2 linked regions of the Schizosaccharomyces pombe genome follow. The protein of the gene in region 1 interacts with the protein of each later gene in a pairwise test. Each region holds a gene or a part of one and is shown on either strand. Other genes may lie near its edges. The genes, in order: ssm4 and jnm1.

Evidence for each region.
Region 2: the proteins of ssm4 (region 1) and jnm1 interact in a two-hybrid assay, tested with the Schizosaccharomyces pombe proteins (one study listed by BioGRID).

Annotation. Positions count from the first base shown.
Region 1 is NC_003424.3:4,522,504-4,538,736, forward strand, and holds ssm4 (dynactin microtubule-binding subunit, p150-Glued Ssm4), read right to left. Parts: upstream 14,234-16,233; 5' UTR 14,184-14,233; coding exon 12,171-14,183; downstream 1-12,170. Other genes in the region: methyltransferase Mtl16, read right to left, coding at 1-116, 163-173, 252-327, 374-447; SPOM_SPAC27D7.09C (But2 family protein ), read right to left, coding at 885-2,036; SPOM_SPAC27D7.11C (But2 family protein ), read right to left, coding at 6,959-8,350; thioredoxin family protein But1, read right to left, coding at 11,014-11,745; RNA polymerase II-associated Paf1 complex subunit Tpr1, read right to left, coding at 14,632-16,233. UniProt on the Schizosaccharomyces pombe protein: Binds to nuclear microtubules with the effect of either modifying their structure or function. This then promotes meiotic nuclear division.
Region 2 is NC_003421.2:1,447,896-1,463,235, reverse strand, and holds jnm1 (dynactin complex subunit dynamitin), read right to left. Parts: upstream 7,024-15,340; 5' UTR 6,801-7,023; coding exon 5,745-6,800; 3' UTR 5,381-5,744; downstream 1-5,380. Other genes in the region: nucleoside diphosphatase Ynd1, read left to right, coding at 1,009-2,727; PPR-repeat protein ppr6, read right to left, coding at 4,044-5,375; gpi8 (pig-K), read left to right, coding at 7,278-8,420; cbl1 (cystathionine beta-lyase), read right to left, coding at 8,822-9,994; SPOM_SPCC61.05 (uncharacterized protein), read right to left, coding at 12,221-13,630. UniProt on the Schizosaccharomyces pombe protein: Required for correct meiotic chromosome segregation.

The sequences.
Region 1 (16,233 bases):
ATAATGGGTATATACAACTAGCGCCGGTACCAATATCCAAACCAATGATTCTTTTTTTATCCTTTTGCCCAGATGTACTTGACAACAGGTCATGAATATATCTTATATAAGTGGCTCTGAAAAGTTGGTTATAAATGATGAATAAACAATGTGTTAATATACCGGTTTGGAACCTTTAAATGAATTAGCATTTATGAGAGAAGGGAAATGTTTGTTTAAAAGAAACATTGGTGATGCTACACATCTCTTACCATTGGACATAGACGATTCTCAGGAAATTCAACACGAAGAGAATAATCCCGATCCAGAATTGCTTTTCCTAACGTACTAATTTATAGGTAAGCAATCGTTTAACATATGTGAGTTTACCAACCGAATAGCATCTTCGTTCCAAAAATCAATGCGACCATTTTTGACGCTACGTTCAATTAGTATATAAATTGGCATTGAGAACGCCCTACAAAGATCTCAAGTCGGGATAATCCCTTGCTAAACTATCGAAATTTATAATATCAGTTTTATCAGTCATATTTTTGAGTACGTAAATTTTTTTTGCTATATCGCCTTTATCGGCGGTTGCTTGGTTAAAAAACGCAAATTTGCTCGTACAAATAACGCTTTCGAATGCCGTATAATTAGTGGTAATATATAGAAAAATATTAAAGGTACATTAGGTGAGCAAAAATAAATACAGCATACACTGAGTCTACTTAGGTAAATGGTACAACATAATCGGTGGCCCTTGAATAGATTTTTCCATTTAACAATAGCGTCTACCCAAAGATTACTGGAAATTATTACTCATAAAGGAAAGAAAAGTAATGAATTTAAATGCTAATGAAGTTAAACTAGATAATGCTTCTTGATTTCTCAATAAGTTAAATTTAAACTCGTAAAGTTAATCCCTCAAGAGGATCGGCTTCTTCGAAGAAACTCAAATAAGAGTCATCAGTGAGAGCCATCATTTCATAAGAAACCGCGGTGTATGAGTTGGGGCATGTAACGTTGGTAGCATAATCGCAACCAGAGCTAGAGCAGTTGAAACGTCCAATTTCGGCAATGCGGTTTGGACGGTTGGAGTAAACAGTAGAATCGTTGGCGACGGAGGAGAGGTTGAAAAGAATGAATTGACCAACACCATTGCTGCCTTCAACAGTGATTGGGAAACCGCTAGTATCGAGATGTAGGTTGAGTTCGCAACTGCCGGAAACTTGAGGAACATCAAATGTGAAAATCGTGTTGGTATGATTGTTTTGCTTCTGAAAGACGACTGGAGAGTAAACATTACCGGAGTTGGAACTGGGGTTAGCAGAATCGATCAAACGAATTCCATGTGGGAAAAGAGGGTAAACAGCTGAGGAAGCTGCTGCGGATGCAGCTTTTGCCGTGGCAGTAGCCGATGCTGTAACAGGAACAACAACACATTTGGTGGTGTAAGCAATTGCCCCACTAGAAGTGCTTGCTTTAGCAGACGATGAAACGCGAGTTGAAGTTGAAGTAGCAGCTGAACTAGAAGAAGAAGAAGAAGAGGATGGAGACACGAAGGCCTCAATAGCAATACCTGCACAATTGGGGTTACCATTTCCGGCTCCGAAGTATACTTGGTAGACCTGATCATTATCACTAGCAGGACAAGCTACCGCAGATTGGGTTCCATTATATAGAAGATTGTATCCAACATTAGTAGCATCACCAGCACTGAACTTAGTGGAAGCTGCATTAGCATCAGATTTGAAAATAGTGGTGCCATTGCTGTCAACCGAAGCGTAAAGATTTCCGACAACCAGTCTTCCGTTACTCATAGAAAAGACAGCACTAGTACTGGTACCATCAGTAGGATCCAGGTAAATAGCGCCAGAGTCTCCTACATAGAAAGGGTGCAAGTGGACATAACTGTTGCCAGAATGAATAGACATTAGGCCAAATTGCTTGTTGTTCAAAGGGTCATCACGCTTATGCAACGGTGAAGCTAATGTGCCCGAGGCAGCGAGCAAAGAGAGCAATGTGGAAGCAATGGGGATTGAAGTAAGCTTCATAACGTAAGTTAAACAAAAATGCAAGAAAGTCAAAGCAAATGAATGTTTTTTTTTTTAATTGAAACTTTTAATAATAACTAAAAAATTGGAGGAATTTCTAGATATTGCAATAAGATTGATCAAACTGAAGAAGATTAATCACTTATTGTCAACCAAAGTAAGAATTCCTTTTTTCGTATCAGATATTTCTTTAAGTGTTACCAACAATTATTTGCCAAGCATCGTGCTTATATTTATAATAATGAACATTATTCTAGAATTTTAGTTCGATAAAATTTAAGAATATTCTATGAAAAAAACCCGGTTCAAATAATCCGCTTTACACGGCGCTTCCGAATGGCAGTAATTATGTAATAAACATGTGCAGTTTTTCATATCGGCAAAATTGCAGTACGCTACTTATTGCTTTACTTAGCAAATCAATATATGTCATACAATTCCAAGGGTATTTACGGAAAAATATTAATCATAACTTCTATTGATACAATTAACCGTATGTTTATGATTAGAAACCCAGTCAAGTGAATTTTCCCAAATTGGTATTCAGCCTAGCTATTCTGGTACAGTTGCTGAAACCTTTTTAAAATAATACTCTACGTAATATTCACTAAATCCCTGCATACAACATTATAAGAAACCACTTCCGGTAGTTTATCGAGAACTAACGGTAAATTGCGGTAATATTGATAATACTGCACTACTCTATGTTATCCCATATTGCGGTCAATTTACTGAGCTGCGTTATGTGTTCCTATATGGCTTCTTGCAACTTGATGTAGGGGTATGCGGTATGTTTAAATAACAGTGTTATATTCATTGTTTTAATGAGTCTACTAGAAGCAGTCACAGATATAGCTAGCTAGTAAGTGAAACTGAGGAACGAGATTCAGTTGTAGCTCTATTTATAATCTTTCTAATAGCAGCTATGAATGTGAAATTTATGTGGATAGATGAATAAATAGCTACAATTATTAATAAACGGATCTTAACTAATGTTCTAATATATAACTAACTGTAGTTCAATGTGTCGTTAAATAAATACTAAACTGCGTAGCTAACAACTACGTACTACTAATGACATATGGTAAATATTAATTAGATCCCCGAACCGGTAATTGCAGATTATCAAAATTCTATGTGCATTGAAAAATCGTTAACAAAATTACTAGGTAAGTTGTAAATAGAACTGAGAACTATGACTAAATTTGAAGTATGAAGCTCAGTTATAAGTTATTTTAGTGATAGGTAACAATTTAACTTATATATTAGAATACATATAGCAAGCTACTCCCTCATTTATTTGCTTATTGTAATATTATGAATCGGCAAAGAAAACTCTTACTGCATTTCTCAAATCCTTAAAAAAGGCAGCAAACGGTAGGTTAGAGATGAGTTTTTTTTGAAATTTACTCATGTATAGCAAGCGATATGTAAAATGTACGAGTAACAGATACTATCATTATTGTTACATTATGTCTCTACTTATAACTGCCTCATGCCGGAACTGACATACAAGAAAAGTTTGAGCTCTACTTACAGTAGTTCTGTCTAATATCTAATTAAACGGGTATTTTAGTAATAGAAACAGGTCTTCCGTTATTATCGATAAGCGGATCTCAACTAGTATTTTAACATATAAAATTAGTGATTTGCAACACAGCGTAAAGTTGCTGACATATTAGAGTTGTAGCATTTCTAATTTTAAGGCATTATATCAATCATAAAACAAGCATCGCTAAAGTCTCGCCTACAATACAACCTGTCTATCAAATACTAGACTCTGCTATGCCGGAAACAAGCACAAGAAAAAAATGGAGAGACAAGGGTTTAAAGATTTAATATTAATTAAGTAAACTAAACAATGCAAGCTGGAGTTCATAATACTTTAAACTCGTAAAGTTAATCCCTCAAGAGGATCGGCTTCTTCAAAGAAACTCAAATAAGAGTCATCAGTGAGAGCCATCATTTCATAAGAGACCGCAGTATAAGAGTCGGGGCATGTAACATTGGTAGCATAATCGCAACCAGAGCTAGAGCAGTTGAAACGTCCAATTTCGGCAATGCGGTTGGGACGGTTGGAGTAGACAGTAGAATCGTTGGCAACGGAGGAGAGGTTGAAGAGAATGAATCGGCCAGTGCCATTAACACCTTCAACAGTGATGGGGAAACCGCTAGTATCGAGATGTAGGTTGAGTTCGCAACTGCCGGAAACTTGAGGAACATCAAATGTGAAAATCGTGTTGGTATGATTGTTTTGCTTCTGAAAGACGACTGGAGAGTAAACATTACCGGAGTTGGAACTGGGGTTAGCAGAATCGATCAAACGAATTCCATGTGGGAAAAGAGGGTAAACAGCTGAGGAAGCTGCTGCGGATGCAGCTTTTGCCGTGGCAGTAGCCGATGCTGTAACAGGAACAACAACACATTTGGTGGTGTAAGCAATTGCCCCACTAGAAGTGCTTGCTTTAGCAGACGATGAAACGCGAGTTGAAGTTGAAGTAGCAGCTGAACTAGAAGAAGAAGAAGAAGAGGATGGAGACACGAAGGCCTCAATAGCAATACCTGCACAATTGGGGTTACCATTTCCGGCTCCGAAGTATACTTGGTAGACCTGATCATTATCACTAGCAGGACAAGCTACCGCAGATTGGGTTCCATTATATAGAAGATTGTATCCAACATTAGTAGCATCACCAGCACTGAACTTAGTGGAAGCTGCATTAGCATCAGATTTGAAAATAGTGGTGCCATTGCTGTCAACCGAAGCGTAAAGATTTCCGACAACCAGTCTTCCGTTACTCATAGAAAAGACAGCACTAGTACTGGTACCATCAGTAGGATCCAGGTAAATAGCGCCAGAGTCTCCTACATAGAAAGGGTGCAAGTGGACATAACTGTTGCCAGAATGAATAGACATTAGGCCAAATTGCTTGTTGTTCAAAGGGTCATCACGCTTATGCAACGGTGAAGCTAATGTGCCCGAGGCAGCGAGCAAAGAGAGCAATGTGGAAGCAATGGGGATTGAAGTAAGCTTCATAACGTAAGTTAAACAAAAATGCAAGAAAGTCAAAGCAAATGAATGTTTTTTTTTTTAATTGAAACTTTTAATAATAACTAAAAAATTGGAGGAATTTCTAGATATTGCAATAAGATTGATCAAACTGAAGAAGATTAATCACTTATTGTCAACCAAAGTAAGAATTCCTTTTTTCGTATCAGATATTTCTTTAAGTGTTACCAACAATTATTTGCCAAGCATCGTGCTTATATTTATAATAATGAACATTATTCTAGAATTTTAGTTCGATAAAATTTAAGAATATTCTATGAAAAAAACCCGGTTCAAATAATCCGCTTTACACGGCGCTTCCGAATGGCAGTAATTATGTAATAAACATGTGCAGTTTTTCATATCGGCAAAATTGCAGTACGCTACTTATTGCTTTACTTAGCAAATCAATATATGTCATACAATTCCAAGGGTATTTACGGAAAAATATTAATCATAACTTCTATTGATACAATTAACCGTATGTTTATGATTAGAAACCCAGTCAAGTGAATTTTCCCAAATTGGTATTCAGCCTAGCTATTCTGGTACAGTTGCTGAAACCTTTTTAAAATAATACTCTACGTAATATTCACTAAATCCCTGCATACAACATTATAAGAAACCACTTCCGGTAGTTTATCGAGAACTAACGGTAAATTGCGGTAATATTGATAATACTGCACTACTCTATGTTATCCCATATTGCGGTCAATTTACTGAGCTGCGTTATGTGTTCCTATATGGCTTCTTGCAACTTGATGTAGGGGTATGCGGTATGTTTAAATAACAGTGTTATATTCATTGTTTTAATGAGTCTACTAGAAGCAGTCACAGATATAGCTAGCTAGTAAGTGAAACTGAGGAACGAGATTCAGTTGTAGCTCTATTTATAATCTTTCTAATAGCAGCTATGAATGTGAAATTTATGTGGATAGATGAATAAATAGCTACAATTATTAATAAACGGATCTTAACTAATGTTCTAATATATAACTAACTGTAGTTCAATGTGTCGTTAAATAAATACTAAACTGCGTAGCTAACAACTACGTACTACTAATGACATATGGTAAATATTAATTAGATCCCCGAACCGGTAATTGCAGATTATCAAAATTCTATGTGCATTGAAAAATCGTTAACAAAATTACTAGGTAAGTTGTAAATAGAACTGAGAACTATGACTAAATTTGAAGTATGAAGCTCAGTTATAAGTTATTTTAGTGATAGGTAACAATTTAACTTATATATTAGAATACATATAGCAAGCTACTCCCTCATTTATTTGCTTATTGTAATATTATGAATCGGCAAAGAAAACTCTTACTGCATTTCTCAAATCCTTAAAAAAGGCAGCAAACGGTAGGTTAGAGATGAGTTTTTTTTGAAATTTACTCATGTATAGCAAGCGATATGTAAAATGTACGAGTAACAGATACTATCATTATTGTTACATTATGTCTCTACTTATAACTGCCTCATGCCGGAACTGACATACAAGAAAAGTTTGAGCTCTACTTACAGTAGTTCTGTCTAATATCTAATTAAACGGGTATTTTAGTAATAGAAACAGGTCTTCCGTTATTATCGATAAGCGGATCTCAACTAGTATTTTAACATATAAAATTAGTGATTTGCAACACAGCGTAAAGTTGCTGACATATTAGAGTTGTAGCATTTCTAATTTTAAGGCATTATATCAATCATAAAACAAGCATCGCTAAAGTCTCGCCTACAATACAACCTGTCTATCAAATACTAGACTCTGCTATGCCGGAAACAAGCACAAGAAAAAAATGGAGAGACAAGGGTTTAAAGATTTAATATTAATTAAGTAAACTAAACAATGCAAGCTGGAGTTCATAATACTTTAAACTCGTAAAGTTAATCCCTCAAGAGGATCGGCTTCTTCAAAGAAACTCAAATAAGAGTCATCAGTGAGAGCCATCATTTCATAAGAGACCGCAGTATAAGAGTCGGGGCATGTAACATTGGTAGCATAATCGCAACCAGAGCTAGAGCAGTTGAAACGTCCAATTTCGGCAATGCGGTTGGGACGGTTGGAGTAGACAGTAGAATCGTTGGCAACGGAGGAGAGGTTGAAGAGAATGAATCGGCCAGTGCCATTAACACCTTCAACAGTGATGGGGAAACCGCTAGTATCGAGATGGAAGTTAAGTTCGCAACTACCGGAAACTTGAGGAACATCAAATGTGAAAATCGTGTTGGTATGATTGTTTTGCTTCTGAAAGACGACGGGTGAGTAAACATTACCGGAGTTAGCTTCAGGCTTAGTCGAATCAATTAAACGAATGCCATGGGGGAACAAAGGATATACAGCAGCAGAAGGTGATGGAGTTGCAGCTTCACTTTGGCTAGCGGCAGTGGTGATAACAGGGACAACAATACACTTGGTGGTATAAGCAACGACGCTAGAAGCAGAAGGACTGGGTCCAACATATGTGGTAGTTTTAGTAGTAGTGGCAGTGTTTTTACGTTGGGTAGAAGTAACGGTAGAGGGCTGAGTGGATGTAACAGTGGAAGCTCCGGTGGAAGTGATAGTGGAGCCTCCGTTCGTGGCTGTTACTGTGTAGGTTTCAGTAGCCGTAACGGTGACAGCTGTGGTGGTCGTAACAGTGGTGGCTTCGGTAGATGTAACGGTAGAGGCCTTAGTGGAAGTGATAGTAGGAGGTGGAGTAGAGGTAGAATTATGATAGGAAGAGGTAGTACTATTATAAGTGGAAGATGAAGAGATGGGTTGAGGCAAAACAGCCAAAACAGCAATACCTACACAACTAGGGTTACCGTTTCCAACTCCAAAGAATACCTGATAAACCTGGTTATTGACGAGAGAAGGACAAGCAACGGCGGATTCAGTTCCATTATATTTTAAGCTATATCCGGAACTAATAGCCTCACCGACACTGAATCCAGAAGAAGTAGAATTAGTATCAGATTTGAAAACTATTTCACCATTGGCGCTCACGGAAGCATAGCGATTACCAACAGATAGTTGTCCATTAGACATAGTAAAGGTGGCAGCGTCATCAGTGCCATCAGCGGGGTCCAAGTAAACAGAACCAGAATCTCCAACATAAAATCCGTGCAAATGGACGTATTCATTGCCGGAGTGAAGAGCCAAAAGACCAAATTGTCTGCCGTTCAAAGGGTCATCGCGTCTACGCAATGGGGAAGCTGTCACACTGGAGGCAACGAGCAAAGAGAGTAATGTGGAAGCAATGGGAATCGAAGAAAACTTCATGGTGCGTGTAATAAAAATCCAAGATTTTCAATGAATAGATGCCAATTAATTAACTGTTTTTTATAAACCAAAAAGTCCTCGCAAAGATATGGAGGTTTTGTTAATATAATAATAATAATTATAATGAGAGATTAAAGGGAATTGATGAAGACTTATTTACTTTGTTTAGTAAGGCTTCGAAGATTATTACAAATGAATGCAATTAGATTTGTTGGCGATATTAAAAGGATTTTCATCTCTTTATATATCAAAAATTTTCCAAACTTAAGTTCGACAATATCAAGAATTTACTTCGGTAAAACGTAACTCATGATCCGCAGTCATGAAAACTTTTGTCATGTGTAGGGAAAAGCGCAGAAACAAAAATTGCATGTAGAATCATACACGGTAATTAAAATGAGGAGTAGTAATATATTTTTAAGGCGAGGTGAATGATTTACATAATAAATGGTCAGCGCATACAAGAAAGTCCGACTGTTGGCGATGCAGAGGTAATATTGGTCGCACTTCCACCATACAGACAGTACCCACGTTCCGTTTACATTTTAAAGGCGGTTTTTTAACGTGATCACTTTAAACGCTTATTAGAGGCTAGCGAACCGCACAAGATGTCATACAAGTACTTTTGCGTAAGCTTCATCGACATGTGAATAACTTTGAAAGCTAGCGCAATGTTTTCACAGTAGTGTGGGAAAACAGATTTGAACAGAGGGAAATTGAGAAATTTAACAACTAGGATTTTTTCCCGTACAACTTTTTCCTTAGCTTCTTAATTATCTAATGGATTAGTACGATGTTTCGTAAGGTAAATTGCATATACCGATGATTTAATCACCTTTCGGTCATCATAGTCGGAGTATTCGGAAAAATTCCTTCATTCCGTGTACGCTTGACACCGGCCGCAAAGACTCCGCACAAGACTCCGAAAACTCCGGATATCTGCTGCGCACCGGCATGTGATCATCGGTGTTATTGGGTGGGGTTGATGATGCATTTTCACCTTCAAATTAGAAAATCCTGATTTTCAATAATGAAATGCATCAACGCACGATAGATATGAATAAAGACTTTGTAGGGATTCTTTATTGTTAATACGGTAATCCAAGGTGAATGACTGTGTAAATTTAACGAGCTTGAACAAAAAACAAGGAAACTGAATTTGTTTTGAAAGAAATCCAAACAAAGGCTGGTATCATTCGAATCTCCCGTTGGTATTTAACTTAGAAAGCAAATGTTCAAAGAAATTTTTAAAACTAAATTAAAAATAGCTCCTCCTTCAATAATACGGCTTTCTCATGTTTCTCTAAACAGAAAACCCTTTGACCAGCTGTCTCCCGTTTGATTTAAAACGCGTCTCTCGTAGCAAAGGATGATGATTGTGTTTCTTTACTTACAATTGTGTATTTTCTTTCTTTCGTTTTCTTTTTACATGACTATATATAGTAAATTAACAATTGCTGTCTTGGAAGTTGATTCATGCTGTGATTAAGCCAAAATCGCTAGGTGGCTGTGCTTTATCCAAATACCGATGAAATCTAGTTTAGAGTAGCGAACCCCAAGCTGCTGCGCTGCAGCAGACGCACTACCTCGTTATTAATTGAACTGGTATGCTTCACTATTCCGTATATGTTCTGTTATGCTCGGTTGGGATGAAAAAACGAGGGCGTGAAAAAGCGCGCTTATAGCATTGACGTCAGAGCTATTTTATCCTTTACATTGATTTATCTACTAAGCATGGTTATTCTATTAAGCAATTCCTGATATAGTTTGATTTACTGACACTTTTGCAACTAAGATCTCAATTCACTAGCATGAAATTGTTTGAACGATTTCGATAAAAATATTATAAACCAACATCTAGAAGACTAATAGTTTCAATATTTTTATGCTTCAAATGTCCAAAATTAATTTTGGTAGGTTTACACAAGAATAAACCAACTGTAATTATATCATATAATTATATTTCTTAAATATATATAATTATAAAGATTAGTTTACAACGATCTCCTTTAGTATAGGGGTAGTACACAAGCCTGTCACGCTTGCAGCCCGGGTTCGAATCCCGGAGGGAGAGAATATTTGATTATTTTTAATTTTTGCATTTTTTTTATTACTCAAATTTTGATTACTTTTGTTTGAACAAAATAATACTATAGAAGCCTGCACTGTCATTTTTATTTGAATAGAGGAATTTAAACTAAAATCTATCAGCTTGGCTTTGTTCTGAAAAAGTAAATGCTTCAAAAAGAATATGCCAAATTATTTATTGACTGATTGAAATTGATATCGGTGATGTTTATAATTTGATAATCAGAGTTGACTTTTTTATTTATTTAATTTATTGGTTCATTGATTTTTTTTGTTAAAGATATCATAGTTTAATAAATTATTCCTTACACTTTTTTTTTTTTTTTTTTTGAAAAATTTAATAAATACCCATCCGTACCTTATCGTAAATTTTTGACAGCATAATTTATGGTACATTGTAATTTATTTTGTGAAATATTAAATATATATATATGTATTTATAGAAAGTATTTTCTATTCCATTGAACCCATGTTTTGTGGTTTTATGTGTGACAATATCATCAACTTTTGCTGAAACGTAAAAAAATTTTTGTTTGTCATTTTTTTTTTGAACGAGTGATCATCATAGAAGGCTTTTAAAGCAACCTTCCATTTTCAATTGCCAAAAATCGAACAGTTTCTTGAACTGCTGTTATTAAAGTAGATACACAAGTGGTAGTACGAATGGGAAGGATGTCGCGTCGACGCCCTATGGAATCTATAATTACAATTGCATCCAAAGCTAATTTTGCTCCTCCAAGAGGATGCAGCATTCCCATCTCTCTACAAATTTCATTGTTAGAATCCGAAATAACTGGTAATGAAAATTGTAGAGCACGAGGCAGATGGGCTTTCCATTGACATATATTTTCAACCGTATCAGTAGTGATACCAATCACATCTGTGTTGTAGGATTGCAGACATGGATAAAAGTGACTAATGACAGATATGTGAAGTGGGACGTTGTCAACATAACCATAATCACCGCTGACATTACCAAAGAAACAGAGAACAAATGAAGAGAATAGTATAGGTAATTTATGAATTTCATTTATTCCACCGATACCATTTACAACGTAAACGGGTTTGGAAAGATTAATGAAACATGGTTCAAATACTACTTCCATATCTTCTTCCCTAATGACACGTGCATGGTTCATTCCGTTCCTAAACGAACTCTTTATATGGGGATGCATACCACGCGTTTCTTCATCTTTCGTAGAGCTTCTTCTTTTTTTTGTAGATTTAACTCTTAAAGTACAATTTTTCTCGTGAACAGCATCACGAGTCGAAATGGGAAACTGGAAAAGGTTTTGGTCGATTTCCATTTTCTAACCCTTTCTCTGCAAGAAGGTGAAGAAACGCTTGATACGCTTTAATAGAAAAAAGGTAACAAAAAAAAATAATATCGCTACCGTGCAATGTGAAACAAGCAGTTTCCCACTCTTAAAGTGGTTGGTTTAGGGTAAGTAAACTTGTTTATTTACATGATTCTCACGTCGACAATTAATCTTCAAAGTCGATCTAATTGGCCAAAAGTACGTTAGTTTAATACAAACATGAACCAATCAAATACTCAACCCCATATTTCGTTAATGCATAACAGGTCACAAAAGAGGTTACAAGTCGATCTTAAACTTAAAGCAACACCATACAGTACATTAATGATAAATTCGTTAAAATATGGCAGTTAAGATTAGAAGCTAATTTTCGGCGGCTATTAATAAATTGAATTATATATCTCATTAAAAGATTAGCATTTTTTGGAAAGAATGTCTGTTAACTGACAATAATTAAATAGCTGTTGATTGTGATGAAAACTGGGTCGCTCGATATCTTTTTTCCAATTCAAGGCCAGCTGCTTTTCTACTGAAACGGGTTTAATATCTGCAACTAATTTTCTTATCTCCTTGCAGGCAAAGGTCAATGGGCTTGGAATTGAGTTTTCAGTATTAGAATCCCGTAAACTGTGTTTGAGCCAGTCTATATTTTCACTAGTATTGTCACCTTGTGGATATTTATCGGCCAGTTTCATCCTTGCGGTCTTTAGCTGTTCTCTTAAATTACAAAGATTTTTCTCATACTGTGTCTTTAATGTTTCAAATTCTTTCAATGTTCTAGAAGTGATTTCAGAGTTAACTTCATTCTCGTATGATTCAATTTGTTCTTTTAAACGTTGGTTCATTTCTGTAAGGTCGTCTTTCATACTACTTTCCTCCTCCACTTGTTTTGATAGTTTCAATTTTGCACTGTTTAACTCGTCTATTACAATATTTGCTTTCTCAAGTTTTGCATTTAATTGCAATAATTCCTCTTGAGAGTCTGATAAGCATAGTTTCAAATGTTTAACTTCTGTCAAAGCAGGTTGAGAAGATATTAGTAACTGAGATAGCCTTTGAGTTTCCTCTTGCACCTCATTTAACTTTTCCGATTGTCTTGCTTCTATTTCAGTGTTTAGCTGATTCAAAGTTTCCAAGTCTTGAATTTCTTCTGTTAGTTTTAATACTTTATGAGACAACAAAGCATTTTCCTCCAACAGTTGCCTTCTTGTCTTCACACCATCCACTGAAGAGTTGTTGGACTTTAAGTTTAATAATTCTTGATAAACTGTGCTATTCCAATGTACAAAATTTTCATTTGTTAATGAAAATTGTAAATCCAAACTTCCCGGTACAATATTTAAGTATCTATTCACGTTAGATATTGTCAATTTCTCAGAAAACGGGTTTTTAGGAATTTTTACAAGCTCAGTTATGTCGACCTGAACCTGTTTTAATTGCAAAACCTTAGAAACCTCTGAGACCCCAAGGAGACTAGATGGTGTAACTTGTGTAGTCCAGTTGTCCTGGCTTTTAGGAGTTTTGGAATTCAAACTTCGATCAGAGTACTTATAATTAGGAATCTTTCGAATTTGCAACTTTCGCTTTCTTAGATACTTTATTTCTTTCTGCATAGCCAAGAATTTTTTGAGAAACTTTTCACGCCTAAAATTCCGAGGTTTTTCAATACTGTTTTTACTGCGAAGGAATGTCAACTGAGGTTCAACTTTCTCTAATTCCTTATTTAATTTATCAATTTTTTCTTTTAAGGCGGTATTTTCACACATCAATTCATCCAAACGACCCTTCCTTAATTCTGACTTTAAATTCTCTTTTAAATAACTTCCCTTTGAATGAGGAGTAAATTTTTTTTCACATTCCTGCAAAACGTTGTCAACTTGCCATACAAATTCCTCTTCCATAAAACTACTATCGTCAAGCCCAGACAATTTGCTCGTATCTGAGTTTAACAAAGTAGTGTCAAAACTTGATAATTCTTCTGTTGAAAAATTTAGCTCATCTAGATTTTCAGTTGTAGATGAAGTATAAAACGTAGCTGTCTTTGTGGGAGTAGACGAATCAATAGGTGTAATGCACAATGGGCGTGCCAATGATCTTTCAAATTTTGAGGGCTCCCTACGTGATTTTTGTTTAATTGCTTTAGTTTTTTCCATAAAATTTGATATGTTTTCTGATCCTTTTTTCCTTGACTTGACGACACTTGGTCTTTTCATCACATTCGAAGAGCATGCGCGTACAAATATCCCTTTTCCTTTCTCACATGAAAAATATCGTTTCCCTTTTACGCTTCCATCATTTTTTCCTTTTCCATTTAACAATTCTACGCCTAACCAAATACCACTTTCAAAATCAGTACTACCGGCAAATCGAACTATTCCTAATTCTCCACGGATGAGGACTTCATCCCCGACGGACAAATAACTCATTTGAAAAAAAAGAAAGGCTCAGAAAGTACTTGATAAAATGGTTAGAAACTGTGAGATTAGTGTGGGGAGGGGGGAACAATGTTTGCAATACAGGCGCGCTAAAATCATCACTATGTTGCACAGTTGAGCATGTTAATCACCAATGTTCAAATCACTTTTAACACGCATGTTAATGTTATTTAAGTAGAATGAAACGATTCTTGGGTGAATAAACCTATTAGTTCTTTTTGAAAGGGTGGATAGAAAAAAACAAATCTAGTCTAAAAAGCGTAAATGAATGACAAGAGCTTTTGTATACAAAAAATTAATTTAAATGATATTATTACACGAGATCATAAATCATATATATGACAGACAACAAATAACTGAAGGGAGAAAGTTAATATGCCATTGAAATAAGAAAATTCTTATCTGAACGGCATAATTCAAACAGCAATGAGCATAATTATTATTCTTCATCCTCTTCAGAGAATAGATTTAACTCTTTATTGTCATCTTGATTGTCTGTGATATCGTTATCCTGCTTTTCTTCGATAGTACGAGAAACCTCCTCTTCTTGATTTCCCTCCGCGTCACTATCCTGGTCAAAAGTATACTCTTCGGATATGACTCTTCTATTAACACGACGTTTTTTAGTTTTATTTCTGGCATCGCTCAATGGTATTTCATCATCTTCGCTTACTCCGCTATCCGAGGATTCCTGTTTCGATTTAGATTTACGCTTTTTTCGATCTTTCTTTTTCTTCTTGCCTGACTGTTTTTCTTCGTCATCAGACAAGCTCATATCATCTTCAGAAGCCTTCTGCTGACTCTTTCTCCACTCCAAAACTTCTTCTTGCATCTTTTGTCGCTCTTCCTGAAGTTGCCTCTCACGTTCTTGCTTTTCCTTAAGTAAAGCTTCTTCCTCTGCCAATCTTCGAGCCTTCTCCTTTTCCCTTTGAATCCTAGCATCTTCAAGTTTGGCAGCAACACTCTTCTCATATTCGATTTGCGCTTGAATAGCGCGCTCCAATTGACGCTTAGTAGTATTTTTAGCCATCTTTGCACGTTGTTCAATACTGGTAGGAGAATAGGGTGGATGTTCGACAGACACCAGTTTGGTAAAAGTTTCAATCGATGCGTCAAGCTGTTGCATTGCAAAGTTCAGATCCTCAACAGTTCTACTGTTCTCGGGTTTCTGACGGATGAGCTCACATAGCTGGAATTGTACAAAGGCAACGTTAAATAAAAGGCTTGGATTCTCGGGATTTTTTTCTAAAGCTAATGTAGCATATCGCACGGATTCTTTTAAATAGTCGACGTTTTTGCTTTCGCGACCACGCTGTAGCCAAACTCGGCCTAAACAGCTCAATACACCATAAGTATCACTTTCTCCGGTACTAGAATACACGGTTTCAAATACCTCAATAGCACGACTGAACTGTTTGAGTTCTGCAAGGCAATTGCCAATGTTTATGAGTGTTGTAGCATCCTTAATTGCTTCACGAACCTTACTCAAAATAAGTAGAGCTTTAGAAAATTGCCTGTTTTGTGCTAATATAATGGCAATACCCTGGGCAGCGTGTGCGTTTTTTGGATCAAATTTAATAGCTTGATCATAAGACTGAATAGCTTTGATGTAAAGTTTTTGCCTTTTTAACTTTTCACGATCATTATGTACACGAAACTCTCTTGCCTGTCTCATATAGGCATTACCGAGTTGAACTAGGGAGTAAATGTCATCGTGCCAATGTCTAAGGGTCTGAGAGCAGTGTCTAACTTCAGGATCTTCTACTGGGCGACGCTTTTGTTTACTCAAATACCAACCAAAAAATGCTCGAACCTCTAAATTTTGAGAATCTGCGTTCATGATATGACGAATTTCTTTAAACGTTTCCTCGTTAGGATTGGATAACTGAAGTAAACATTTGCGAATACGGGCATCAATAAAAGATGGATGTTTTTCGAGAATCGAAACATACGCTTCACTAGCTACAGAAGTGTTACCCAATTCTTCTTCACAACGTGCAAGATTGTAATCCAAGAGCAAGCTTAATTCAGGATTGGCATC
Region 2 (15,340 bases), on another chromosome or scaffold:
AAGTTTCTGAGTATTGAATTGGATTAAAATTCTACTCGTTTTCGTGTTATGTGATATGGTTATGGTTTGTAAATGGATTTTATAATTTTTTTTGGATGCATTGCATTTGTGTTATTTATTGTTCATACGAGTTTAAATATTTTTCATTTCTCCCGTCTAGATAACTGATCAATTATCTAAATGTTCGTCAAATGGGATAAACGTTCTCTCAATCAAAACTTTAAAACACAAGTTAATATAGAATGCGAACTGAAAGCCGTCAAATATCTCTACGAAGAACCGTTACTGTGATCTTAAAGCAAAGTGCATGAAATACTTGTAAGTAAATGACATTTTAAATCTTAAACAGTGTTAAACCGTTGAAATTTGAAGGATACAATTATTTTCTCTATTAAAACAGTTCTGAAGTAAATTGTTGATGATTGTTATCAAAACATTGTCAATCTGTTGGTACTAACAGTATTTGACATCTAAGCAAATTAAAGAGACAAATCAAAAAGTTTTCGCGTATTCGATTTTTCTCTTTAATTCTAGTCGCATTATCTTTTAAGTCAAGTGACCAAAATTAATGTGATTATTCCAATAGTCCGTATGAATGGGTCCTTAAATTCGTCTCAATTTACTTTTTTTGCATTTTGACAGAGTTCACTATATAGTGATTTACCACCTAAAAATGTGCTACCTATACATTCGCTAGTTGTTAAACATTGAGTTGAATGTTCATAATCCACTACAAACGTTCATTCAATGTTTCAATTAAGTTAAATAGAGGTTCATTGATAAGACAGATACATATATTTAACTGAATTTTATTGATGTATATCTTGGGAACATATGCCATATTGAAATTGTTCACATCGCCATAGTGCGCTTTCAACCATCAACAAACAAAAGGCAAATTGGGCTGGTTTGATGAAAATATCCATCTTCAGAGTCGAAGTTATTTAATATCCAGTCTTATAGACAAAGAGACATTTTGTTAAGAAAAATAAGTGCAGGTGGCTAAAAATGGTTCGAAAGTATGGAATTTTCATCGACGCTGGATCTAGTGGTTCAAGACTTCTAATTTATTCTTGGGACTATGATACCGATTCCTCTTTAAGTGATAAAGTAAAAAAATTACCATTAATCGAGACAGGGATTGGGGATGGTGGTAAATGGTCTTTAAAGGTTCAACCTGGAATTTCTTCCTTTGCCAATAACCCTAAGCATGTAGGGAAGAAGCATTTGAAAGAACTCCTGGATTTTGCTGCTCATGCTATTCCCAAAGATGTACATAAAGAAACTCCGGTTTTCCTAAGTGCTACAGCTGGTATGCGTTTACTGGGCGTTGATGCCCAAAACAAAATACTTTCGCATGCTTGTAGATATATTAAAAAGAATTACGATTTCGACATACCTAATTGCTCAAATTCAATCCGTGTAATTGATGGCAAAGCTGAAGGTATGTATGGTTGGCTAGCTACGAACTATCTCCTTAAGACACTTGAAGAAAAAGATACGTCAACGGTTGGTTTTTTAGATATGGGCGGTGCGAGTGTGCAAATTGCTTTTGAACTTCCCCCATCTCAGCTCAAAAATTACAAGGATAGTATTTCGACCGTTCACATAGGACTACAAAATGGTCAGCAATTGGAATATCCTTTGTTTGTTACTACCTGGCTCGGTTTTGGCGCTAATGAAGCTTACCGCAGGTATTTGGGACTGTTAATAGAAAGCGAAAACGGAAAAGTTGGCAACACTTTAAGCGATCCGTGTTCCTTGCGTGGACGAACTTATGATATCGATGGGATCGAATTTGCCGGTACTGGAGATTTGAAACAATGCTTGAAACTGACTTACAATCTATTAAATAAAGACAAGCCATGCTCCATGGACCCTTGTAACTTTGATGGAATATCTATTCCTCCTGTTGATTTTGCAAATACTGAATTTGTTGGGGTCTCGGAATTTTGGTATACGACTAATGATGTGTTTGATATGGGCGGTAGCTATCATTTCCCTAATTTTTACAAAAAAGTTGACGAGTATTGTGGTACAGAGTGGGAAACCATGCTTTCCCGTCTTTATAATAAAGAGCTGACTCCAAGTACTGATGAAAACAAGCTTGAAAAGCTTTGTTTTAAAGCATCATGGGCGTTGAATGTCCTTCATGAAGGATTCGACGTTCCCAAGTCAAATACAAGTAGTAATGATGCAAAGGATGGGCTCTCGGTAATTCCTGCGTACCATTCTCCATTCACGAGTTTAGAAAAAATAGAACGCACCGAAGTGAGCTGGACCTTAGGCCAAGTATTGCTTTATGCATCAAATCAGCAACTTCTAGCAAAACCGGAATATGCTAATTATTATATGGACCCATACGGAAAGCTAATCGCATCCCCTTCAAAACATTGGATGAGGTTATTTCCTAATAAATTGTTCTTTATTCTTTCATTTATTTTCTGCTTATTCTTTCTGTTCTCTTTGGTTTTGTTCGGGTATGATCCGAAAAGGCGCCAACGTTTCAAAAAATTCCTTCTGCGCTTGCAACGTCGCAAGGCTCCGTACATTATGTCTGCAAATGGAAGTTATGAGGATATAGCAGATTTTTCTGATGATTTAGAAATGAGCAGTCCCTCTAAGTGGCATGGACCCCCGATACGTACCACTTCAAGCCATGTTCTCGCAGACAGACTTTCGTTTACTGCTAGTCGAGAGAGAACGCCTAGATCCCCTTTTCCTTAATATTCTTTACCCGTAATTTTAGGGATGGACAGCTTTCTGCTGCACTTATATGTTTCTTTTAGCTTTTTTGTCATTTTTTCGTTCGTTCTTAAAGAGAAAGCTGTGAATTTCAGTTGCTTCTCTATTTCACTTTCAGTACTTCTTTCATTCATAATACACCTAATTAACCAAACCATATTAATCACTCGTCTCAACATTATGTAGGCGTGCCAGTCCTTTGTTTACTCGTATGAATATTTTTATCAAGTCAGCAAAAACTCCTAAATGTCCATTTTACACTTGCGATATTTGAGTCATATCTCTTCTAACCGCTTGTGGCAGTTAGCATAATAATCATCATCGATTTTATTAAATTTGAGATAAAGCATATAGTTGAATTGGGTAAACTAAATATAGCAACCCCTAAGGTAAAACATGTTTGATGTATGGAAAATTACATATGTTAGTTATTTTAAATTTTAAACCATTACAATCAAGACCTCTTTTCAACCTTTGTTAATATGATAAAAAAGAGCAATCTGTATCTTAATATATCGAACTCAAACAAATGAAGCTATATTAAATAATATCAAAGTGAAGCAACTTTTATGATTCATCCTATGCATTGAATATAACTAATCTGCCTAATTCGAACATTCTAAATCTGCAAGATAAATAATTTTGAAAGTAGAATCTCCATAAATTTTCTTAAAAAACTAGCATTTGAAGTGTAGCTTATTTGAACAAAAAAGACCCAAGTCTTTGTTAGTTCACGAAAGAGCATTTTAATGCGTCGGTAGGCAATTAAATAGTGTTAAGAGTCTTAAAAAATCATGACGACCTTAATAGTCTTTACAAATTTATTGATTTAGCTTGAAAATTAGAGCCCTCAAGCATCAGTAGTTATGTACTCAGAAATTGTGATGCACAACAAGACATTGAATCTTTAGTTTTTTAAGATGCTAGCAAAAAAATTTTACTTAAATTTTTTTTAAGTAACTTAACAAGTACAACAATTCTGGAGTTCTTTGATTACTAAAAAGGGCACATTAATTAATATCGATATAATATTTGTCAAAGGATAACATATTATTCGTCATAACAAAAAACCAGAACTTTTAACATCAACATTCCCTAACTTGCGATTAGAACCAATTTTCGATAGTCCTCTAAAACCTTTAAAGAAAATGCATGCCTAGACACTTTTAGACTTACTAAATGACATTAGACACCGTTATTTACGGATTTGCTCAAATTCCAGAAGCAGAGAAATAAATATAAGAAAAAAGAAGGGATAAATTTTTAATAAGGAATGTACAGTGTGAATGGATAGATCATCAAGGTTTAGCAGGATCTCCTACGGATGAATGAATTTGGTTCAACACGTTTGACCACTTAACCGAAACTCGTTTAGTATCATGAGGTCGTTCAGTTTCTGCATATCTCATCAATTTCGATATTTGCTTTTCGAGAAGTTGTAAATGTTTTTTCTTGACTTCGTTGTTTTGCTTTTCCAATGATCCTAGAAATTGTTTAGTCCAACTCTCACAGACTTTTTCTAGCAACCCGAATCGCCCATGCTTCATATAAAATTTAATTGATGTATCGTATATCTCAATTATTGGAACACAATGCCTATACATTTGAGAGTACAAACGAATGAAAAGCTCAATATTTTTTATTCGTGCATGACCAGCTGGAGCTCTAAATTGTAAAGATGCAATGGACCAATATATTATGTAGCGCCAGGCTAACTCAGGAAAATTAATTTTATAAACAGAAGTAAGCTTCCTTGACAGAGATACTGCACTTGAGACATCACCTAAATATCCTAATGCAGAAATGATTGAAAATACTGTATGATGTGTAGGAAATGTAACGTTTCCACAGTCAACTTTTTTACTAGATGAATTTTCGTTTATCCCCCAAACGGTATCTATAAGATCGTAAATCTCTCGAATCTTTCCATCTCGAGATAAACCCACCATCAGATAATCATATGTAGTAGAATTAGGTACCAAATCGTAATTTGGAAAATCGACTTCAATCATATCAAGCATTTTACCAGAGACAGGTTCCGTTACCGGTGATCCTCTAAAAGCAGGACTCTGGAATTTAGAAAGCGACCATCTGTTTCCCCCAATTACACCGAGAATTGCATTAAAGTAATCGACACTTGGGCGGATTCTTTTCTCCTTTACTCTTGCTACTATATATTCAAGTATATGCTTGTTCCCAGTATACATTGCAACCCGTAAAATATGGGTATAGTCAACAATGTTAAATTGAATTCCCAAACGATCAGCATCTTGAAGGATTAGCTTAATTTGTAAAGAAACTAAATCACGATCACGATGTCGGATGTTTTTTCCATTTTTGGGACAAACAACGGACCGTAATATTGATTGAAAATCCGAAGTTCTGAGTTGGTCAAACTCTTTTTTTGAACGTGCTTTAGAATATTCAATAAACAAGGAGGATAATTTTCCATAAGAAGATACCCGTAATAAGTTAGACGCGATGGGAGATGCCGAAGGTATAAATTTCTGTGAATCACTTATATCGTACAGTAGTTCCTTAAGTATGTCGGTATGGGAATATCGTTTTTGTAGAATTAACTTAAATGTACATTTTCTTATATTATTTGGTAAGGAACCCAAAATTCGCATCCTGCTACATGAAAGCGAACCGAATGGTAATTTCTGGTGGTCGGTAGAACGCAACTAGCTACTTCAAATAAATCTATGACAATTCTGTATTTGAACAAGAAGCAAAGGTTAGTGAAAAGTATATTGCTTTTTGTGAAGTAATTAGGTTTCAATATTCCTGAAATAAATGTAATTATTTGCATACTCGATGAAACGCATATAGTAACAAAAACAGAAATTGTACGAAGCTTCTGATACTATCGCAAATAAATTTTTCTTTGATATAGGAAATTAGGAAATTTTTGTTTACTCTCATTCCTTAACGTTCAAGACTTACGTCCAAAAACTTCAGAACAAAGAAATGCAGCGTAAAAATTCAATAGCACTATCCTATTGCAATTTTAAAACGCGTTTTTCAAGCTGTGTGACAGTGTCAGATAATCTCCTCATCTCTTCTACGCTTTGTGTGTAAAATTTTGAATGATCAAGGCGTTCAACTGTATTTTTCCATTCGTTCAACTCAGACTGCATAGTCATCATTACATCTTTTGAACCCTGCCAACTGCTAATTGCTTCAGCCGCATCGGTGTGCATATTCTGTAAAGACTTTAGCCGTTCTAACAACAATGGTAATATGGGCATATACTGTTCAACGAAGGGAAGTTGGGAAGAACAAATCTCTAACATGATAACAATATCTTCTTCCGTACACAATTCCTTTAACGAAGAGTTTTTTAAAGTCGTTTGTTTCTCTATTGAACAAAGATTTCTTTCATGGTGTTTCAAAAAATCTTTAGCAAGTAATTGCTTCCATGATTCAATTCGGGATTGCCAAAATTGAGGATCCTGCTCAACAATTTCAAGTTTTTCCATACATTTGTTTAAAAGCTCGCTAAGCGGTTCATCAGCATACCCTATTTTTGATTCTAGTTTGAATATCCGTTTGTCAAGGCTATCCAAATCGAACGGATATGAGAGAGTTGGTGACTTCAAGGACTCAGAAGTTTTACTGTTAAGATTTTTTTCCGTTTCCAGGGTATCTTGCAAAGTGTCATCTGAAAATTGTTCAAGTCTCTTTTCCATAGTATCATCATTACCACTAATGGCAGTGTCACTGATAGTTTCTGACTTTGACCCTTCACTGTTTATGTGTTTATCCCACAATCTATCCAACATTTCCCCTAATTGAGTAAGTTCCTTCTGTTCTTCGTACATCATCGACTGCTCCCATAATTCTTCAAGTTCGCTGCGAATTTTCATTAGTTTCTCTTTCCAACATTTTTTTTCAGTTTGATCGGAAGATTTCCTGAGTCTTAGTCGACCAATTGTTCTCATCGGTACATAGCAATGTTGCTCTTTAAGTTTACTCAAGCATTCTTCTACAGAGAATTGTTTTGTAACGATGCTGGGTTCAGAGGAGCTGTCTAGATTAATCATTTCTTTCATCTTTTTTAATTACTATCAGTAAACGAAATTGCTTAAAGGCGTATCTCAGATCATATGCTTACACGTTTGATATTTTTCGGGAGTAATCGATGGTTTAGGGGTTTTATTTGGTTTCAGTTCCTTAAATAATAGGTGTTTTCTTATAGAATAAATTTCTTGATGTTTTATAGTGAGCACTATTACTTCGATAAAATACAGTTCTAGTCGCAAGCAAGTGCAGGTTAGCAAGGGAGCACCATAGTAGGTAAGCGAGTAAGCACAACAAAGTCGAACTTTACATCTGCATATACCAATAAAAGGGCTTGATAATTTTTTTTTGAATTATTTGCAGGAATCGTTTACTGAATTAACGTGTAAAAACTTTACATGCTAATATCGTGCTCAAACATTACGCTTTGTCACAAAGTTGTATAAACGTGATACTACTAAACGGCTTTATGTTTATTTAATTTCAACAACTGAAGAGTAGCATTCTTAATGATTGTTCAGTTTGTGGCACTTTTGCTGCTCAATTTGCTGCAAATAATAGCTGCAGAAAGTTCGCATACAAATAATTGGGCCGTCTTAATTTCTACCTCGCGTTTTTGGTTCAACTACAGACATACTGCGAATGTTTTAGGAATATACAGATCAGTCAAGCGTCTTGGAATCCCAGACAGTCAAATTATATTGATGATAGCTGACGACTACGCTTGCAACTCTCGAAATTTGTTTCCAGGAACAGTTTTTGATAATGCAGATAGAGCATTAGATTTGTATGGAGAAGAAATTGAAATTGATTATAAGGGCTATGAAGTTACTGTTGAAGCGTTTATCAGATTGTTGACAGAGAGAGTCCCTGAAAATACACCAGCCAGCAAACGATTATTGACAAACGAAAGATCTAATATCCTAATTTATATGACAGGTCATGGAGGCGATGGTTTTATTAAATTTCAAGATGCTGAAGAATTGAGTTCTGAGGACCTTGCTGATGCAATTGAGCAAATACATCAACACAAGAGATACAATGAAATCCTATTTATGGTAGATACATGCCAGGCAAATTCTTTGTATACAAAAATCTATTCGCCAAACGTCTTGGCAATTGGTAGCAGTGAAGTGGGAACTTCTTCTTATTCCCATCATGCTGATATCGATATTGGAGTTGCAGTGATCGATCGCTTCACCTTTTCTAATTTGGAATTCTTAGAAAATAGGGTTGATAGTAAAAGCAAATTGACTATGCAGGATTTGATCAACTCCTATAATCCGTATGAAATTCATTCTACACCTGGTGTCCAACCCATCAACTTACGAAGAAGCCCGGATGACATTTTAATAACGGACTTCTTTGGAAACGTTCGTGACATTGAATTGCACAGTGAAAAAATAAATTGGATGTTGCCCGGTGAAAACACTACCAAACCATCAATAAAAAGAAATAGTTTCGTATTTCAGGCACAAAATGACATGCAGGATGACGGTAAAGGTTTTGGTATTTCAAATCTAAAGAGTTTTCTTCCACCAACCAGAGAACTTAAATACAAAAAACATCCTATTTCTCGAATTATCTCCGCTGTTGTGTGTATTTCCTTCTCTATTGGTTTTCCGTACTATGCCAGTAAGTACCTGAAATAGGCGTTTCAAACAGGGTTTCTCACGTTTTTTATGACATTCATTAACACATTAATTTATCTTCTATTTCAAAGTACATTTCAAACGTTTGGATTGGTTTCTTTGTAGACTTGGATCATCCCTAGTAATTCGAGGACTAATGTTACTCAAAATGCTTTTGCTTCATCTTAGGAAGCGTAGGCTAATGCCAATTACTAATTATAATTTATATACGGTCAATATCTCAATAATATTTTCCATTAAAATTTACACATATGTAAGTAGGGATGAAGCGATGTTTTTAAGCAAAACTTCGATCATTTTAATATTTGATGATTTAAAATTCTATATGCACCACAACTAGTAACTTAAGCAACCCTTTCTCCAGCTTAGTTGTGAATACCACTATGCCTTCATAGACGAAATCAATTCTGTTTAAAATTTGCTTGAGCAAGGGCATTTTCGAGGTCAGCCTTGAGATCATCGACGTTTTCGATGCCGACACAGATGCGAATCAAATCTTCACTCAATCCCCGAGCGTCTCGAACCTCCTTCTTGATAGAAGCATGACTCATATAAGCGGGCATACTGATCAAAGAGTTAACAGCACCAAACGAAACCGATATTTCAAAGAGCTTAGTAGTGTTTACAATAGTTTTAGAGACTTCAACGTCGCCAGTAAAAACAGACATTACAGCACCTGGTCCACGTGCAAAGGAGTAAAAGATTGCGGTTGACTTAGCGTCAGGGTCTAATCCAGGGAAGTTGACCTGAAGTCCCTTGCTCTTTAAGAATTTGGCAATTTCTATTGCATTCTGCTGTGCACGTTCAACACGCAATCCCATCGTTTTAATACCGCGCAACAGAAGGAAACATTCGAAGGGAGCCATAGCAGCACCCATTGCGTTGATGTTAAAAAACACAGATTTAGCAATCTCATCGCTTTTTGTGGCAATGACACCACCCATTAAATCGTGATGACCTGAGAGATACTTTGTGGCCGACTCGTAAACTATATCATAACCAAAGTCCAAAGGGTTACAAAGGACAGGAGAAAGCATAGTATTGTCCATTACCAATAAGGCATCCTTGGCTTTTGAACGAGTTATTTTAACAATAGCCCGAATATCACAAATGCTGATACGGGGATTAGTAGGACTTTCAATCAAAACCAAGTTTGTGTCTGGGCGCAAAGCTGCCTCAAAGGCTGCCAAGTCAGAAGTATCAACGTTATCCACTTTAAATCCATATTGCCTTTGGTTAAAAGAGAGTAAGCGATCAGAGCCACCATATAGATCGTGGCCAGCAACGACATGGCTATTAGACTTGCAGCAGCGTAAAATCATGTCTAAAGCGGACATACCATTGCTAGTTACAAAAGCATGTTTCGCCTTCATAAGTTTAGCCAAGTGCACTTGAAGAACAGAGCGAGTAGGATTACCGGAACGAGTGTAATCAAATTTGCCCATATGCTCTAAGCATGGCTGTTTAAAGGTAGCTGATTGATAAATTGGGACTGAAGACGCATGATACTGGTCTTCATTGCCTTCAACATGTACCAATTCGGTATCGACAGAATATTTACAATCGCTGGGCATAGTGATGGTCATGGAAGATAAAATTTAGGAAGATAAAATAGGCAATATGAGAGTATAGTAGATACAGATATGAAGCGAAGAACAAATCTTTTCTTCTTAATAAGAAACAGTGATACCAAAATTCAATAAAAGGTGTACAAAAACAGATGTTGCAAAATTAAATTTTTAGGACGAGTATTAAGACCTAGAAATTGGCAAACAAACTAACAATGATTATCAGGCAGTAGATGGTCATTTATGTACTTTTTGAAGCTTCCTAATTGTAAAAAATGTTTGATAATCGCTACAATAAACAGATAACATTAGACGAGCGAGAACGACCAATATCCCTGACCCCTTTTGCGATTTTTATGCTGCCGATTATATGCTCGATTTTACTGATGGAAACGTATACGAATCGATAGACAAATGTAATATAGCGTTTTTCCTCTGTTTAGTCAGATGAGGCTAGCAAAATAACTTTTATAGCTAACCACTGGGTACTGAACGAGTAAACGATGTAAACATTTGAAAAATTCAGCTAATAACACAAACGTCTACTGCAATATGGCAATATGTTTAGGTAACGCCAACAACTAAGTTACCAGTAAGTTTGATAACACATCAATATAGTGAGAAAGACAAACATACGATAACGAACAGTTGTCACATCTAGCCCGTTTGATGAAATATTAGCAAGAAATACGACTTCTCGACTAACCCTTGAGAACCCCTTTAAACATGAAATTCCACAAACTTCCGCACATTTCACGACACATACCGCCTATCTTTAATGCGAACTGTACATCATCTAATAAACAACTCACAATAATAGGCGATCCATCCACTCGAATCGCTATTGATGCAAACTACAATTGCCGTCGAAAGGTCAAAACTGCTTCGGGATACTATCGTCAGTAGTACCCAATATCTACAAGACTCCACTACCCTTCATCGATGAGCTGTACAGAATCATACGAACCACAAGCAAAATACAGGGGTGACATAGAGCTAATCATAAGCAAAGATTTAAAGCTTTAACATCTTGAACGACATCTGTATCATCTAATAAACATATTCTCCTTGCAAGTTTCAGAACTAGTGATACTCAAAACAGTTAACATCCTATACAGTGTTCCGATTTCCTGTACGTGGTTTAAACGTTTAATCATTCCCCTAGACGCCCCTTTTTGAATTTACTTCCCACACAATATTGGATACCTACGTCCACAATCATCGTGCCATATCATCTCCGTACATTCACATGACTATAGTTTGCTCACAAACACATTAATTTCATCAAATTTAAAAATGCGTGTCTGAATGTAGTAAGAGAACACAAGGTTTACGTATTAGATCTTCTTTTTTTAGGGGTTTAAAGAATATTTCATATGTTTGAGCATTTACTGCTTATTTGGCTTAAGGAAGTCTTAGTTTAAACGGAATGAAACAGCTACGTTTTCAGACATACATACGAACTTCCATTCCAACTTCCGTTTTGGTAAAAGGTAGAGAGAAACAAATACATGCCAGAAACTATTCAACAGTTCAACCCGATTGCGTGATTGGTATACTGATATATAGGGTATTCCATAATAACACAGAGTGCATGCAATTATCTTTACTGTCGTTTAGTGTTCTATCGCTATTTAACAAACTTAACTTTTCTCATTACTAAATCGATAAATGGTATGTGCATTAGAAACATTGTCGCTTCTTGCTGATGCTCATGGTTAAAATTATGTAACATTTCAAGTGATACTATTTGAAATGGATGCAGGATATCAAGAGAAGCTTGTTTAATTATTTAGCAAAGTGTCAATATATTCAAAATCATCATCAAAAAAGGCATAAAGTAGAAAAAATGTAGCAAAAATCATCAAGGAGGTAGTTGTACGAATTCAATATAGCTGAATCGTATTTATATGTATAGAAAATGGGATTGTGTTAGCAAAAAATATAAAGGATGGAAGTATTTGTAAAGTTATAATAGCATGAAAGAGTATATAGTGTAAAAAATCTGGATAAAGATATAGTAATTGAAAAAAGCAATTTAAAAAGACAAGTATTAAAATCAAGAAATGGCGTCTCATGGGAATGTGCAATTAAGAAAATCAAGAAAATGTAAGAACTGTCACCACAAAAGTAAAATAAAAAATATTAAGTAACCATTTTTCAAGGATTAAATTTTCGCACACAGCTACCGTTTTCTCGACCTAATATAAAACTGATTATCAAAAAGCTTTTTTACACTTTACGATCGGGCGCTGGTTCAAGGTTAAGGGATTCCATCGATTCCAGTGCATACCATTCAAAGGGGATCGGCTGATATTTTAGGAAGACAAATTTTGAGCAATCAAAGAGAAAAGCAAAAACCAAGAAGTCAACAAACGTGATGCAGGAAGTTATCAGTTGGAAGCCAAGTGAAAGTTGACTGCCAAGTAAGGGACGAACAACTCCCAAAAATAGGCAATTACTTACGGTCACAGCAGCTAATGCAATATAGCAAGTCCTCAAAAGAGAGTACTTGGCCTCAAATCCAAGTTTCCTTGATTCACCAGCCTGCTTGTACAGTCGGTAAACTGCAAAGAATGGCAATCCATAGTAAACAAAAGTATAGATATTCCAAATTAGCTTGAGGAGGATTCCTCGAACCCCATAAAAGGACATCACGGGATAGGAGAGGGGTGCAAACGTGACAAACAAACCTTGAACGAAGGCTACAAAGGCTAGGTAAACATAGTACTTCACTAAAGCAGGCTTCGTGATTCCCAAGCCAAAACACAATACCAATAAAAATGATGTATATGCAGATTGTTCCAATCCTTCTTCAAAGACGAGTGAGAATAAAAAGGAAACTACGTACCATGTTGAAAAGGAACCCCTTCCGATGGCAACCATTGAGTACACCTGATATGAATGGGTAAACACAAAGATAAAAACCCAAAATGCAAGGGAAATTTGAGCAGGTTGAACCCCGGACTGACTTTTAATACAACGCAACAACCATGTTAGTGTAATGAATCCTAAAAACATCGATATCGCTAATAAGGTGGATTTTATGGTACGAAAATAAGACTCCGGAGGAGGTGCATCCCCATAAAATTCGACTGTCAAAACAGGCCAAGGAATACGAATTGGCTCAGTTTCTTGAATTCCGATAAAACAATACAATGCAGTTTCATCAATGGGTATATTAACTGATGGAGAGATTTCGGGGACTAGAGACTCACTGAGAAAATCCTCGAATAAGTTTATTGATTTAATCTCATCAAGAATCTCTGTATTTTTTCCATCGATAAATCCACGATAAGTTTCTAACGGTGTTTGGAGTTTAAGCAGTCTGTAAATAAAAGGATGTTCGGCATCCTCTTTCAGTTGCGCTTTGACAAAAGAACCTTTTTCTTCTTTGTTTTCTTTCGCAAATATGAGGTCGCAGTAAATGACAGATTGTTTCCAGCTTTCTCCATCTCTGTACTCCAACGGGGTCACAATTAATTTATCAAAGTGGTAGGCACCAGTAGAATCTTTATAGTAATCCTTATTGCCGGTGTCATCCTTCACATCCAAAGGCGCGTCCACGGCTTCTTCAGAAGAATCTCCGGACACAAACCATGGTAAAATAAGAGTGATGAGCAAAACAAAGTTTATTCGCATATTGTAACGATTTACCAGAAGTGCTCAATTAAGTATATTTTCTTTTTAAATTTTGAGAAACGAACGAATCTTTTGGCTTAAATGGGACTGCCTTTGACTTTAAAAAAGTAAAACCGTGGATATAATATTATGTAGAGATAAATATGAGTCGATCAATACCTGAATCCAAACAATAATCTAATCGAATTGATTAACTTTAACAAATCTCCTCCAGTAAACGTTGACAAGCCTATTGTAAGTACAAAAATGTGGGAATCTTTGCGCTTGCTTTGATACGACTGACCAAGAAAGCCGTCAAACTATGAATAAATATGAGCTTCTCGAGGAGCTGGATTGAAAAAAATCAAAATTTTAAATTATATGCTTCTTAGAACCTATATTGTCGAAAAAAATTGGCTACTAATGAAAATATACATATATGTACGTGGTGGTAGATGAAGAGTTGACAGAACTGCTACAAAAATATGATTTAAGAAAATATCTAAACTATGCACCAGACATAGACAAATTTAAGTTTTACATATATCTTATTAAGTGAAAGACAAAGATTACTGTAGAATTCAATTGCTTGACAAAAACTGAGAAATAATAGTTCCGTGTAAACTCCTGAAATCCCTACAGCTTACTACTGACAAAGGAAACAAAGACTTGCTTCGAAACGATTTATTTTTCGTTTAACTTTTACAACATATGGGACTTTTTTATTATAATTTTTGGAAGGAACAAATTTCTCTCATTGAGCCAGTCACGGCTAATTTTGTCACACCGCAGTTAATTTATGAGTGAAAGATCTTCATATCATTTCATTTTTCTTTTTTCTTTTCTTCTAGAGCAAAAAGTAAGTTCTTTATTATAGTGAAACTAGACACTAAGTTTTTGTATATATTGTTGGCCGTTAAAATTAAGCTTATTTTTAGCGAGATGGATGGAATATTATAAAGAAAATATAATTTACAATTAGGATATAAATAGTCGTGGGTAATAGCGATAATCGTCTTCTGTTGTTTTCTTGAAGTTTTTTTTTACTCTATTTGTAGCTTCTTGTGATCCTTAGATAAATAGAAGTATTTTTTTTTTTTGGATTTTTTATATCAGTAAATTTATGAAATGCAAATTTTTGCTGCCATTAATTGTAAATAATTACATAAATGTGTTTAAATAATGAAATAGGAGAACAATAAAAAAATAACTCTGATAATCAATTTGTGTTAGGTACACAAAAATACTCTTTTTCATGAAACCTTTGTGTGCCACAGTAACGTAAGTTAATAAAAAATTTCAAATTAAATAAAACCAATAACTTCAAAATTTCCTTTACTGTCAGAATAACTAAAAATAAGCTTAGTATTGTAATTCAAGTAATTCTTAATGTATACAATAAATGAATACCTGTTTAGTCGTATTGAATTATTTGCGATAGCTCAAGTGACTCATATACTAACCATCTGAGGTATATACTAAGGAGTAGAAAAATCAATTGTTAACAATTAAAAAATAAATCAAATAAATTGGAACCTCTTAATATCCCAAAGTTAGTTTTGAGCGGTTCATGTATTATTTAAACAGGTATAAAGTATGAGCTCAAATATTTTAACAGCAATAATATTGTCATTTACATAGTACAGTTCAGCTGAATCCACGAATTTTTAAAAAGCCGCTGGATTATGCCTTACGAATTTTGGTCGCTCGTAAAATATCTGTTATACTGTA